2 linked regions of the Anolis sagrei genome follow. Each later gene encodes a partner of the first gene's protein in a complex. Links are inferred from orthologs where the notes say so. Each region holds a gene or a part of one and is shown on either strand. Other genes may lie near its edges.

Region 1 (7,458 bases):
ACACAAATGTATATACATTATATAATATTACAGGTGTCCCTCTATACCTGTGGTTTTGACTTCTGATTTGATTTAAATGTTCTAAGAATCTCTAGACCCTCCAATGTGACTCTGTGGTCAACTTCTTCCAATCATGGTGGAGGACCAAGCAATTTTTATACATTAAGATCTCTAGAAATTTTTGGGTTCCCTAACCCAATTGTATGATTACCTTCCAACAGAAGTTGCCCATAGAGTCATGTTGGAACACCTAGAAATTTCTAGAGGTGTTATCTGAAATAAACACAATTTCTTTATTTGCGCTTTTTTACTTTCATTGTAGTCCTGTGCCGCTTTCTGGGCAGAGCATGCTGAACTCACTGGTATAGCCTATGGATGTTTAGAAAAGCATGTTGATTGTTTGCTTGCTCACACCCCTTCTTCCTAAGTCCCATGCATACTACTTTTCTCCCCAGGAACAGCATGGGTTTGCCCACTCATCTTTTTTCATCGTGACCCCTCACTATGAAGCACATAGTGAGCAAGTGTTCCTGTATAATTACATTTATTTTTATGCCACTGTTCTTTCTTAACAGAGACTCAAAGAAGCTATGAATACTCTTGAAGTCAAACAGTCAAAGCTGATGACATGCTTGTTTTCCTGACACTTTCACCATACCTGAAAACGCTGAAACTATGTGTCAAGTATCCCTTTACACTTTAACTTAAGTTTGGTTCTTTTACCTGTGCTTGGGGGAGTGAGTGATATTTCTATTCTGGTTTCTACCTGAGTGTGCCATAATCTCTGCTACCAAATATCATACAGGGTGAGGCAGCATAACTTCCAAATCATTGCAAAGTCAGCTATTCAGTCTAAAGCAGGTATGGGCAAACTTGGGTTCTCCAGGTGTTTTCAACTTCCACAATTCTTAACAGCCAGTAAGTTGCTTGGGATTTCAAGTTCAAAACATCCAGAGGGCCGAAGTTTGCCCATGGCTGGTCTAAAGGAAGGGCCTTCTAACTATTCACAGAAACTAAATTACAGTACAGTACTCATTAAGCAGAGATCTAGTATGGAACAGCATCTGCAGAGGACCAAGTCAAGGTGGATACTAAAGGGAAAGGTGGATAGATTACAAGGCCCAAGCCAGACAGGGGAGAAATTCTTGATTTTTTTTATTTACGGCATTTATATGCCGCCCTTCTCACCTCGAAGGGGACTCAGAGTGGCTTACAATATATATTTTCATACAATATATTATATTATTAGCATAGTACAATATCAGTATTATATATTACTTTATTGCACTATACCATTATATTGTAATATTATTAGTGTAAATATATAATTATAATATCATATTATTATTACTAGTATTATATTGTATTACATTATAATATTATAAATATTATATGTATATACAATATACTATATTAGATTATTAGTAAAGACAAGATGGAAACGTCTTCTGCTCCCCTCTGTCTTCGCTCTGGCCAGAGCAGCCGTTGGGTCGTTGATGCAGTCTACTGGACCGGAAGTGGTAGCAAATACAGGGTGAGGCAACATAACTTCCTTTTTTAAAATGCGCGCCATTCAGGCGGTTGAAAACGTAGAGGAGCGCTAGGGGTCTTGTTCGAGAGGCGGGAGTATAAAGTTTTGTCCTGACACAGTTCAGTCGCCATCATGCGTTGGAACAGTGAGAAGCGTGCTTTTGCTGTTGAGGCCTACTTTTTGAGCGGATTTGGGAGTGGCTGGCCTCCTCTCCAGATTTGGCCCCTTGTTTATTTATCGAGCCATCAGCAACCAGGCAATTATATTACATTTCTAACAGAACAAAGCAAACAAACAAACAGACAAAATACAAAATTTGTGAATTTGGTAGTTGATTAAATGTCCTTTGACCAGTATCTGGCCACTTGGAGTGCTTCTGGTGTTGCTGCAAGAAGGTCCTCCATTGTGCATGTGGCAGGACTCAGGTTGCATTGGCCCCTTGTGATTTTTTTTATGGGGCTTTTTGAAATCCCGTGTTTATGTGAACTGTCCAAGGACCCTAAAAGATTTGAAGACCAACATCCAGGAAGAAACTGCCAACATAACGCCTGCTATGCTGGTAAGAGTCATGACAAATGCCAGAAATCGGTTTACTCAGTGTATGGAGAATGAGGGACGTCACCTGCCTAATTTGATCTTAAAAACTACGTAAAACAAAACTTTAGGTATGCGCCTACATTATATTAAAAATATTCTGATTCTTACAATGGGTTTTATTAAGTCTTGAAAAAGGGAAGTTATGCTGCCTCACTCTGTATAATGTTCACATCTACAGTTTCAGCTTTGTGGATCAATGCTACTCAGAGGACCAATTCACAAATGTGTCCATCCCTTAATGACTGACAGATGAATGCATGAACCAAGCTCCTGGGAAAAACAGGAGAGTCTTATTTGTAGTCTTATATGTGATTCAACTTCTGCTTGTACTTTTTATGACAGACAAGACATCGTATGAGGCAAAATATTGCAAAGTCAGTTGATAAAGCTTCAGTCTAAAGCAGGCATGGGCAAACTTGGGCCCTCCGGGTGTTTTGGACTTCAACTTCACAATTCCTAACCGCAGGGCGGGAGTTGAAGTCCAAAACACCCGGAGGGATTAAGTTTGCCCATGCCTGGATCATATAATTCGGTTCACGCTGCATTATATAATAGTGCAGATCAAGCCTCAAAAATCCGAGATTCCAAACACTTGTGGGGCGAACTCATTTGGGATATAAGATACTTCGCCTGTACGGCCCTGCACACCTGAGCTTTGCTCACACAAGGCTCTTTGTGGGGTTTCTGAACGCAGCCTTTATTGGGAGTGCTCCCACTTTGAGGCCTTGGTGTCACTCCCAGGCCGGCGTGACTCACTCACCCTCCGAGGCGCCCTGGGCGGCCTTCATCCTTCACCGGAGCGGCAGGCAGGGAAGGAGAGGGGCCCGGCGCCCCGCTCCGCCCTCCCTCATGCGGCGGGGAAGGAAGGCCCGTCTCCCGCTCGGAGGAGAAGACCCGAGGCGCGCGCAAGGCACCATCCCACTGGCGTCCGCGTGAGATTTCCAGCTCTCGCGGGATTTGGGAGGGGAAACCGGAGGTGGAGAGCAACAAGCGCGAGAGAAGCCGCGGCGCGTGGGAAGTCAGCCAATCTAGCGGCAGAAAGCACTTCTCGCGAGGCTTTCATTTCCACCTCCCTTGAAAAAAAAAAAATAAACAAACAAAACAGGTCACGCTCTTTCACCCATCAGGAAAACGTCCAATGCAATTCCTTCGCTTTAGACAAAGTCCAAAACACCCGGAGGACCGAAGTTTGCCCAAGCCTGGATCATATAATACAGTTCATGCTGCAATTTCCTGTACTTTACTAATAATCCAATATATTGTATATACATGTAATATATATTATAATGTAAAACAATATAATACTAATAATACAATTGGGTTGTTGTAGGTTTTTTCGGGCTATATGGCCATGTTTTAGAGGCATTCTCTCCTGACGTTTCGCCTGCATCTATGGCAAGCATCCTTAGAGGTACTGATGCTTGCCATAGATGCAGGCGAAACGTCAGGAGAGAATGCCTCTAGAACATGGCCATATAGCCCGAAAAAACCTACAACAACCCAGTGATTCTGGCCATGAAAGCCTTCGACAATACATTAATACAATATTATAATTATATATTTATATTACATGTAATATTACATGTAATATTACAATAGGTTGTTGTAGGTTTCACCTGCATCTATGGCAAGCATCCTCAGAGGTTGTGAGGTCTGTTGGAACTAGGAAAAAGGGGTTTATATATCTGTGGAATGACCAGGGTAGGACAAAGGACTCCTGTCTGCTGGAGCTAGGTGTAAATGTTTCAACTGATCACCTTGATTAGCATATAATGGCCTGACAGTGCCTGGAGCAAACCTTTGTTGAGAGGTGATTAGATGTCCTTGTTTGTTTCCTCTCCGTTGTTGTGCTGTTGTAATTTTAGAGTTTTTTTTAATACTGGTAGCCAGATTTTGTTCATTTTCATGGTTTCTCCTTTCTGTTGAAATTGTCCACATGCCTGTGTATTTCAATGGCTTCTCTGTGTAGTCTGACATCGTGATTGTGAGAGTGGTCCAGCATTTCTGTGTTCTCAAATAATATGCTGTGTCCAGGTTGGTTCATCAAGTGCTCTGCTATGGCTGACTTCGCAGGTTGAAGTATTCTGCAGTGCCTTTCATGTTACTTGATTCGTGTTTGGGAGCTGCTGCGTTTGGTGGTCCCTATGTAGACTTGTCCACAGCTGCATGGTACACGGTAGACTCCTGCAGAAGTGAAAAGATCCCTCTTGTCCTTTGCTGAACATAGCATTTGTTGGATTTTCTTGGTGGGTCTGTAGATACTTTGTAAGTTGTGTTTCCTCATCAGCTTCCCTATGCGGTCAGTGGTTCCCTTGATGTATGGCAGGAACACTTTTCCTCTGGGTGAATCTTCATCTTTACTCTTGTGGCTTGTTCTTGGTCTTGCAGCTCTTCTGATGTCTGAGGTGGAGTATCCATTGGCCTGTAGAGCCCAGTTGAGGTGGTTCAGTTCATCTTGAAGGAGGTGGGGTTCGCAGATTCCTTTTTCTTATATTACAATATAATGGTTGAGTTCTGTTTTATTGACTATTCTAAAGCTTTTGTGTCGATCATAATAAATTGTGGCAAGCTCTTGGTGGTATGGGGATACCAAATCACCTTATCTCTCTCCTGAGGAATCTGTATAATGACCAAGTAGCAACAGTAAGAACTGACCATGGAACAACAGACTGGTTCAAGATTGGGAAAGGTGTATGGCAGGGTTGTATACTCTCATCCAACCTATTCAACTTGTAGGCAGAACACATCATGCGATGTGCGGGGCTTGAGGAATGCAAGGCTGGGGTGAAAATTGCAGGAAGAAACATTAACAACCATAGATATGCAGATGATACCACTTTGATGGCCAAAAGCGAGGAGGAGCTGAGGAGACTTCTAATCAAGGTGAAAGAAGAAAGCGCAAATGCTGGGTTGCAGTTAAACATAAAAAAACCCCAAGATTATGGCAACAAGAATGATTGACAACTGGGAAACAGAGGGAGAAAACATGGAGGCAGTGACAGACTTTGTATTTTTAGGTGCAAAGATAACTGCAGAGTCTATGATTTCTACCAAGCCTGTGCAAATACTTCCGCTCTAAACACTAACAAAGATTACTGCAAAGCAGACTGCAGCCAGGAAATCAGGAGACACTTACTTTTTGGGAAGAGAGCAATGTCCAATCTCGATAAAATAGCGAAGAGTAGAGACATCCTACTGGCAACCAAGATCTGCATAGTTAAAGCAATGGTCTTCCCTTTAGTCACCTACGGATGTGAGAGCTGGATCATAGGGAAGGCTAAGCAAAGGAAGATAGATGCTTTTGAACTGTGGTGTTGGAGGAAAGTTCTGAGAGTGCCTTGGACAGTGAGAAGATCCAACCAGTCCATACTTCAGGAAATTCAGCCTTCCCTATGGTCCAGCTCTCACGTGCATAGGTGATTATGAGGAATACCATTGCTTTAACTATGCGGATCTTGGTTGCCAGTGTGATGTCTCTACTCTTCACTATTTTATCAAGATTGGACATTGCTCTCCTCCCAAGAAGTAAGCATCTCCTGATTTCCTGGCTGCAGTCTGCGTCTGCAGTTAATTTTTGCGCATAGAAATACAGTCTGCCATGACCTCGTTTTCTCCCTCTATTTTCCAGTTGTCAATCATTCTTGTTGCCATAATCTTGTTTTTTTTAATGTGTTATTGCAACCCAGCTTTTGCGCTTTCTTTTTTCACCTTGATTAGAAGTCTCCTCAGTTTCTCACTTTTTGCCATCAAAGCGGTATCATCTGCATATCTAAGTTTGTTAATGTTTCTTCCAGCCATTTTAACCCCAGCCTTGCATTCATCAAGCCCTGCACATCGCATGGTATATTCTACAGACATGTTATTACATTTTTGTGTGTACTTTTTATCATGACAGACAGGCCAATCTGTCACCACAAGAGGGAAAGCACTGCAAAGTCAGTGTTTTCCGTCTAAAGCAGGCATGGGCAAACTTGGACCCTCCGGGTATTTTGGACTTCCAATTCCCATTTTGCAACGAAACGTGGCAGCTTCCCTCTCCAACCAAGTCAGCGCCGAGCCTCTGCAATTGTCCCCATGCAGATAAAAGTTTTGTTCAAACGCTCGAACGAGTTCCCGTGAGATTTCGGCCCCGCGAGAGGTCAAACCCGTTTCGAGAAAGCGGAGGAGGTTTTCCGCTTTCCCTTCTCTTCCTGAGGGGCAGCGTCGCGAGACTCGGCTTGTGCGCCTGCGCGCCAGAAGGTAGGCAGGCAGGCAGGAAGGAGAGCAAGCTTGCGCGCGCTTGCTCTCGCGATATCTGGAGGAGCAGGTATAGAGAGAAGAGAGAGCGAGAAAGACGGAGCAGAAGAGCCCCCCGCGCGTTACTACAGGAAGCTTCGGCGAATTTTGTCCGTGTTCTCGCGAGAGTTGGCGGCTTACCTTCTCCCCTCCTCACTTTCCTCTCCCGCCCCTCCCCCCAACCTGGAAGCGGCGCCGTTTCGTGGAGGGAAGTAAGAGGGGGCGAGGAGGAGGAAAAGGAGGATGGGGGGCCCGGCGTGGGGGCCTTGCTAGGGACTCGGCCGGAGGGAGAGGCGGAGGGGGCTCCTCAGCAGGGGACTCGTGGCCCCCTCGAGGGCCCCCGGCGCCTCCGCGGCCAGCCAGGCCTCGGCACCACTCTCTCCTTTCCCTCAGAAACTTGGAAGCAGCAGCCTTGAAGGAGAAAGTGCAGCCAGCTGTGGCCTTCCTTCTCGTGAGGACTCAGGGCCTCGAGTTGGTAGCCGAGGGGGCGTTTCAGACCCTAGAGAAGCCATTATACCAATTCTTGGGGAGACCTACAGCTTAGAGGGGTCTGAAGTTGGAAGAGAAGGGGCCACTTCCAGGAACTTTCCCTCCTTTTAGACGGTTTGGAGGGATCCATCTCCAGGAGTAGTTGGGACCCATACATTGACCTTAGCATTTTGAGATTGGAATCTCCAGCTAAGGAAAGTTAGCTTCCTGTCATTGCCCACCCCATGCTTGATATCTAGGAGCAGGGCCATTGTAATATAAGTTGCCCCGCCCCTTTAAGGGTTCAAAGTTGAAGGTCTGTGTCTTAGGCAGTGGTTTGGGCTAGATCCCCTTCTAGCTCCAAACTCTGGTAAGACAACCGCATGCCGAAAAGAGCAAAGTGGCTGGATGTAGGAGAGAAGTGACGCAAGGGAAGGGGGTGGCTTTGACAATTAGGGTTGGGGGTTTTGGAGGAGTCCCCCCTCTTTTAGAGCCCAGTGGAGAAGGAATGCCAAACCCAGAGAGACATGGGGTCAAGAAGGAATCAGGAGGAGGAGCGCTCTTGCATCAAGAAGCCGTATCCAGCA
Region 2 (7,491 bases), about 15 Mb from region 1:
GCCAGCTGCCACCACTGCTCTGTTGCGCACAGCACCCGTCCACCCACAAGCAGGCAGCCAAAGCGTGACTCTGCTGCTGAAGCAAAGGCTTCTAGGCATTCCTGAATAGGGAACAAAGATAACAGCACAGAGGTTTATCTATATACTTGTACAAACTACCTACTTGCTAGAACTGCAATAGGTATCCATAGGTGGACACAGAAGGACACACGCCATGTTGCTATCTGTTCTGTGCCAGTGAATCCTTAAAATGAATTCATTTTTAACATCATAGAATTGGAGTTTCCAAGGATTACAAGGACCATCCAGTCAATCCCCTTGCCATGCAGGACAAATTATAAGAACGGATAATATGCCCTTCCTGCATGAGACCACCACCACCATGGAGTGTCCAGAGTTTGCCAGAATATCCACCAGAAAAATATATAAATATGTTCTGTGACATGATGCATTTAAAAAAATGGGGAAGCCTCCAGACGTCCACTGAATGTGGATCACCAGGTAAAAAAGACCAGCAACTATGTTTCCCTAAAGCAGGGGTCCTCAAACTATGGCCCGAGGGCCGAATACGGCCCTCCAAGGTCATTTACCCGGCCCTAGCTCAGGGTCAACCTAAGTCTGAAACAACTAGAAAGCACATAATAACAATAACAATCCTATCTCATCAACCAAAAGCAGGCCCACACTTCCCATTGAAATACTAATAAGATTATATTTGTTAAAATTGTTCTTCATTTTAATTATGGTATTGTTTTTAACTGTTTTTACACTACAAATAAGATATGTTCAGTGTGCGTAGGAATTCATTCATGTTTTTTTTCAAATTGTCATCCGGTCCTCCAACAGTTTGAGGGACTGTGACCTGGCCCTCTGTTTAAAAAGTTAGAGGACCCCTGCCCTAAAGCATAAAAAGTTGGGGGGCGGGGGGAGGAATGTATCAGCAACTGAAGCCCAACTGGTTTTTATTTTAGCATGAGCCTTGTGGGTATAAATCCAGTTCTTTAGATGCAGGCTAAGATAAAGTGGTATTAAAACCTCATCTATAAAGCATATTTATACAGCTTTGGGATAAATTTAATTTATCTTCCATTAATTTCATATATGTCCTCCTATGCCAACAATGCCACTCTGCACTTTAAGTTAGACAAACAGGTTACAATAGAGGGTAAACAAAGGGATTTTTCAAAGTCCCAAATATGGTGGTGTGGACGTTAGAAGTTATGCTGGAACCTGCAGATGACAGAAAGAAACAGGTCAACTTACCTGCAGTACTGCCCTGGAGGGTGTCACAGCACATTCCATACACTGAGTCAAGTCAGCACTGCATTTGCCTGGTTCCAGGAAACTGTCAATCAATTTATAACATGCCTGCAGGGTGGTACATTTCATATTTAAGCTACCAAGGTTTTGTTTTTTTTAAAACTATTTTCTGAACAACTTCCAAAAAGCATGTTTCAATGCATTTACTATTTACATCCTAATGCTATCTGCTTTTCTAATGTAGTTTCACATGCTTCAAGAAAACATTCTGGATCAGGCTGAAGGAAAAAGGCTCAAATCCAGGTGGTAGATATCAAAGATGCCTCTCTATCATCAGAATGTGAAGCAAAGATAGCAAAAGCAGGAGGTGCCATCAACTTGCCATACACCATGCAATAGAGCAATATCTAAATGCCCCTCTCCCCTGTTTTACTACAAAGTTCCCTAGATATTATATTCCTGAGTTCAGTTCTCAGAAATGTAAATTGCACCCACCCACCCCTCCTTCCACTCCACATCAAGTGTTACCTTCAGATCCTTTTTCAGACGTTCAATATTACGGGCATTTACCAGTTCCTCCAGACCTAATATCAGTACCTACAATAAAATGCATGTCAGAAAGATCCTGCTGGTCTACCATTTTAAAAAAAGCAGCCAGTTCCCGCAAAACTAAACATGTTTCCCCATCTAGATTTAGGAGTCTGAGCTGGCATCAAACACAAGTTCTTTGCAAATGGGTCTATTTTACTGTGAGAAACAGGCCACTTGAAAGTGGGGCCTTACCATCTCTTATGTCTCAGGTCTCTTATGTATGGTTTTATGTTACTTTACATTTTTACCATGGCCCATGTCACAATTAAAAACCCCTACTGATTCATGCAAACCAGTAGCATATACCTACACAACTTAGCATAACTTTAAAAGCCACAAAACACAGCTAAGTCAAACATGCCCCATGCCCTCCATCCCCCATTCACTGGTGATACTTGCTTCTCTCAAAATGGATTTATTCTTCCCAATAATTGACTGTGCCTTACAGTTCAGGAAGACATAGGCTGAAATGATATCCCATCCCTTCAACTACTCACCATGGCATTGAAGATATTCTCAAGGAGTCGCCCAAGGCTGAAGTCACTAGTACCTTCATCTGAGGACAAGACGATGAGCGTGATACTGAAAACAAACATACCACAAACCAAGGATAGGCATGCACAGTAGGCCACCAGAGCCTCAATTTCAAGTCTTTAAAAAGAAGGACAATCCTTCATTTCTAACAAATCCCACATAGATTCAGAAGACAATGATTGGTTGCTAGAGGTATGGCAATTCCAGAGGTAAAACCTGGCATGTATTCTTGCTCACCTGTTGTGAAATACTTTCCACATCACACGAGTATTCTCTGTACAGGCAGCTGTCAGCAGAACATCTAGGTTGGACCCAAACATGTGAACCCCATTTAGGGAGCCAATCACAGAGAATGGCAGCTAGGTTGGGGGAAGATGAATAAGGAAATATTAGCATAATACATATGGCTCGGATAGTGACAACTAATTCTAGAAGGATTATTAAGTTGGATCTGTAATGTAGAATACTTTTCTTATTTTCATCATAAGTGGTTGTATGTGTGTTAAAGCCATATTTTCTTTTAGATATGTATTTTTTCATTCCTTTATTCTCTGAATGTATTTTCTGAAGGTATAGAATTTTGATTTCAATTGAAATTTATATTGTTAGTGTATGTATATATTCGTGTATGTATATATAAATGACTGAACACAACTGGATTGCCTGGTGTACATCGTAAGTACCAAATGTGCTTTGGAGCTCCTTGCTGGTGACCACTAATTCTAGAAGGAATATTAAACTGGATCTGTAATGTAGAATATTACTTTTTTATTTTCATCATAGGTGGTTGTATTTGTGTTAAAGCCATATTTTCTTTTAGCTATACGTATTTTTTCATTCCTTTATTCTCTGAATGTATTTTCTGAAGGTATAGAATTTTGATTTCAATTGAAATTTATATTGTTAGTGTATGTATATATTCGTGTATGTATATATAAATGACTGAACACAACTGGATTGCCTGGTGTACATCGTAAGTACCAAATGTGCTTTGGAGCTCCTTGCTGGTGCCCGGATTAGCATCTTCAGAAAAGATTAAGGTGGTTTTGTTGTATTTCTGCAATGTACCTACAGATTTGTAAAGTTACAACATGCATATTCTGATGTAGAATCTCAGCTCATGTTTTAAACAACTGTGTATAAAGCTCAGGACTCTTGTCTGCTAGAGCTAGGTGTCCTTTGTCCCGCCCTGATCATTCCACAGATATATAAACCCTTTTTCCTAGTTCCAACAGACCTCACTACCTCTAAGGATGCTTGCCATAGATGCAGGCGAAACATCAGGAGAGAATGCCTCTAGACCATGGCCATATAGCTCAAAAAAACCTACAACAACCCAGTGATTCCGGCCATGAAAGCCTTCGACAATACTGTATTATTATTAATAATATTACATATAATATAAAATATAATTCTTATATTGTTTATTATTAGTATTATATTGGATTACATTATAATATCATGATTAATAATATATGTGTATACAATATATTATATTATTACCAGAGCACATCAGTAATATATTAACATCTGAATAAAACCCCACATTTTCTGCTCTGAACTGGAATATATGGCAGTGTGGACTCAGATAACCCAGTTCAAAGCAGCTATTGAGGGATTTTCTGCCTTGATATTCTGGGTTATATGGCTGTGTGGAAGGGCCCAAAGACAGTGTGAGAGAAGGAGACGCCACGGCCTCACCTGTGGCTTGGCAAGGCCTCCTCGGCTCCTACAGAAGAGGGGCACCCCACTGCTGGCGGTGAGGCACAGCAGCGTCACGGAGCCCCCCGCTTCCTCCCACATCGTGGCCCGGAAAGTATTCCTCCCTTTTGGTCCGCTTTCCCCTTTTTTCCCTATTCCTTTTCCTCAGCCTTTCCTCAAGGCCGCCATTTTGGGAATCCCGTTGCCATGGCAACAAGAGCCCCTCCTCGATTGGTTCTTTCCGTGCGTCCCCGGTGTTGCCGTGGCGACAGCAGCGCCTGCGTGATTGGTGGCTTCCTTTTCTTTTTTTCCCCGCCCACTTCACGTGACCCAGGCTCAGCTGCTCTCCCGCAGCAAGAGAGGGAAGAGAAATCTCCCCTCTCCGTTCGGTATTTGCGCATGCGCAATATAAAGCGGACCTGAAGGGGATCATTTCCGGTGGCTGGAAAACAAGGAAAGCTGAGCATCCGGATGTCAGCGTTGGGTATGCGCTTGAGGGAGTGGAGGAAGGAGGGGGATGTTTGAGGAGAAGAGGGGCAGAAGTGGAGAGGAGGAAGAAGAGCGGCCACAGCCCTACACCATGGGGTTGCTTCTTGATTTGTTGCTCCTTTTCTGGAGGCTTGTCTCTGTTCCATTGACACCAGGCGTGGGCAAACTTGGGCCTTCCTCCAGATGTTTTGGACTTCAACTCCCACCATTCCTAACAGCCTCAGGCCCTTTCCTTTTTTAAGTTTTTATGGTCCAAATGTTCCTTACTTGTGCAGGGCAGCCACACTTTCCAAAATTAAATCCATTTTGTAATTGTCTAATAAGCTGTTCTTTTAAAACCGCATTGAGTCGCCTGTTAAGGGCTGAAAAATGCAGTATAGAAATAAAGCAAATAAATAAATAAATAATATACCAAGCATAATATACCAAGGAGATTCCATCTGAACATGAGGAAGAACTTCCTGACTGTGAGAGCCGTTCAGCAGTGGAACTCTCTGCCCCGGAGTGTGGTGGAGGCTCCTTCTTTGGAAGCTTTTAAACAGAGGCTGGATGGCCATCTGTCAGGGGTGATTTGAATGCAATATTCCTGCTTCTTGGCAGGGGGTTGGACTGGATGGCCCATGAGGTCTCTTCCAACTCTGATTCTATGATAAATTATGATAAACCATTTCATGCATCATAAGATTTATATTCCTAAAGTAACAAAGTGACTTTCAATTTGTAAAGAAGGTAATAGTTTTTCAGTTTTCCAGAAAATATGCCCCTATCCCTATAGCTTCTGTTTCGTTTTGCTTCTAGTTAAATTTGCAATTTTAGATTTCTAACAAAACAATTGTTTGATTATGGTCCATCTCTGTTCCAGACATCATTCCGTCCTTCTCTTATCTACAAGTCCACCTTTTTTTTGACCTGCTTATATTCCTGTTATTCATTTGTTAGTTCCTTCCTTTCTTTATCTCTCACTTGTTTACATTTGACTAGAACCCAGATGAGTCTTGTGTTTTTATAGAGTACTGAATGTTCATTGTGGTACGGATTTAAAGTTAAATAGTTACAGATTGTTGGGCTTGCCTCTTGTTACTAATTTGTCACACTGCTGCTGTTGTATAACCATATCTCAGTAGTTGGAGGAGATGGTGGTACCAACGCTGGATATGCCTGCTCAGCCTATGGGGATGGTTGCTGATGTAGTCTTCGTCATTGAGGGCACTGCCAACCTTGGGCCCTACTTTGAGTCCCTGCGAAAGCATTACCTTCTACCTGCCATTGAGTGAGTGTTCTTGGCATCCTGAGATGCAGCTGTGCTCTTGTTTGCTTTGTTGCTTAGAAAGACACAATTATGGGAAGGAGAATGCTGAGAAAGTATTTCCTTTGAGGGAAAAATCCAGTTATAGTATTGATTACTATGTTCTGACTATTCGATGATGTACTGTCCCAATAAAATCTTATATAGGCAATCCCTGAGTTACAAACATATCACTTACAAATTACTCATAGTTAAGAACGGGGGTGAGACAACAGGAAGTGAGAGAAATCTGCCCCTCAGAAGGGACATTCACTCTCGAAAGAGTCATCATAGGGAAAATGGGTCTCCACTAAAGACCAAAGACATCTGGAGGGTAGATGTAGAATTTCCATAAGAATTTGCAGACTTGGGTTTTGTTTTTGTTTTTTACTAAATTCTTGGGGTTTAATGATCAAAGAGTTTTGCAAAGTACTGGATGAAGGGGTTGGACTTGTGCTAGGAACTAAGAATATAAGTGAATAGGTAAAGAACATGATGACTAAGCATATGATTAGCTGTAGAATTTTTGGTCAACATAAGAATCAAACATACCAATCTTTTCACACAAAAATGTACACCAAGTTCCCCGGAAGTATTTGTATTACAATTGAATTCAGTACAGAAATACCTTTTAATTGTTACTTTTGAATGGGAACCTTTGTTGTTTCAGGCAAATTAAAAATCAACCTGTATATGACTGGTGTATCTTGTGTCTATGCCTGACCTAGAGTCAACTCTACTGAATGTTGTTTCATCTTCTGAATAAAAATGCATATGCATTCAATGTTTAGCATGTGCAGTACTTGGAAGTAGGCTCAACTGAAATAAATGAGTTTTACTTCAGAATTATTATCATTACCACCTGCCTCTCCATACAGTTTGAGGTGCAGAGTAACAGATTAAAATAAAGACATAGATACAAAACATAATTTCCAATTAAAATCCATAATTAGTTGATTGCTTAGTCTTAAAAGTAATATATTAATCCAAAGATTTCTCAATTGAAGAAATATCTGCAAATACACATGGTTACTAATACTGCAGATTGCAAATATGGAGTCCCGGGATATTAAAAATAAAGTTAACTGAAGAGAGAATATACATACAGGATTAAACTAGACATGATAAATTGACTCATATGTTTATGTGATCCAGCGTAGGGGCAAACAAAATATGAACACAGCAGATGTGTTTACAATTCTTAATTTGGGAAATAAGCAAGTAATGTACATGGTGGCTAACTCAATTGGAATGGAAATCATGAAAAGTAATCCTGTCATTTCATTACTTCTATTTAGTGTTGTGTTCAATGTCAAGCAACCCTCACTTTCAGTCAACTGATTTTTTTTTGTTTTACTTCTAGATATTTTAATGGTGGTCCTCCAGCTGAAACAGACTTTGGAGGAGATGTACGTATAGGAATATGCTTTTGAAGTTTTTGAAATGAGGGAATTGAGTGGGCTTTGGAGACATCCTCTCTTTGAGTATGCCTAGTTTTTGCTTCTGAGCATTGCATGGGCTGAGAAGCCATTTAATAATAATAATAATAATAATAATAATAATAATAAGTGCATGAACTCTAGCTCTGTTAAAAATTCTTTTTTTGGGGGGTCACTTATTGCTTTGTGGTT

Evidence for each region.
Region 2: MED1 (region 1) and MED25 share a complex: the UniProt entries of both Homo sapiens proteins name them as parts of the mediator complex. The link is inferred for Anolis sagrei from reciprocal best matches to the Homo sapiens genes MED1 and MED25.

Annotation. Positions count from the first base shown.
Region 1 is NC_090026.1:43,431,534-43,438,991, reverse strand, and holds the start of MED1 (mediator of RNA polymerase II transcription subunit 1), read right to left. Parts: upstream 3,075-7,458; 5' UTR 2,917-3,074; coding exon 2,889-2,916; intron 1-2,888. Other genes in the region: CDK12 (cyclin-dependent kinase 12), read left to right, coding at 7,380-7,458. UniProt on the Homo sapiens protein: Component of the Mediator complex, a coactivator involved in the regulated transcription of nearly all RNA polymerase II-dependent genes.
Region 2 is NC_090026.1:28,837,461-28,844,951, reverse strand, and holds the start of MED25 (mediator of RNA polymerase II transcription subunit 25), read left to right. Parts: upstream 1-4,436; 5' UTR 4,437-4,570; intron 4,571-5,696; 5' UTR 5,697-5,708; coding exon 5,709-5,845; intron 5,846-7,223; coding exon 7,224-7,269; intron 7,270-7,491. Other genes in the region: FUZ (protein fuzzy homolog), read right to left, coding at 1-101, 1,264-1,368, 1,789-1,857, 2,349-2,433, 2,623-2,744, 4,087-4,188. UniProt on the Homo sapiens protein: Component of the Mediator complex, a coactivator involved in the regulated transcription of nearly all RNA polymerase II-dependent genes.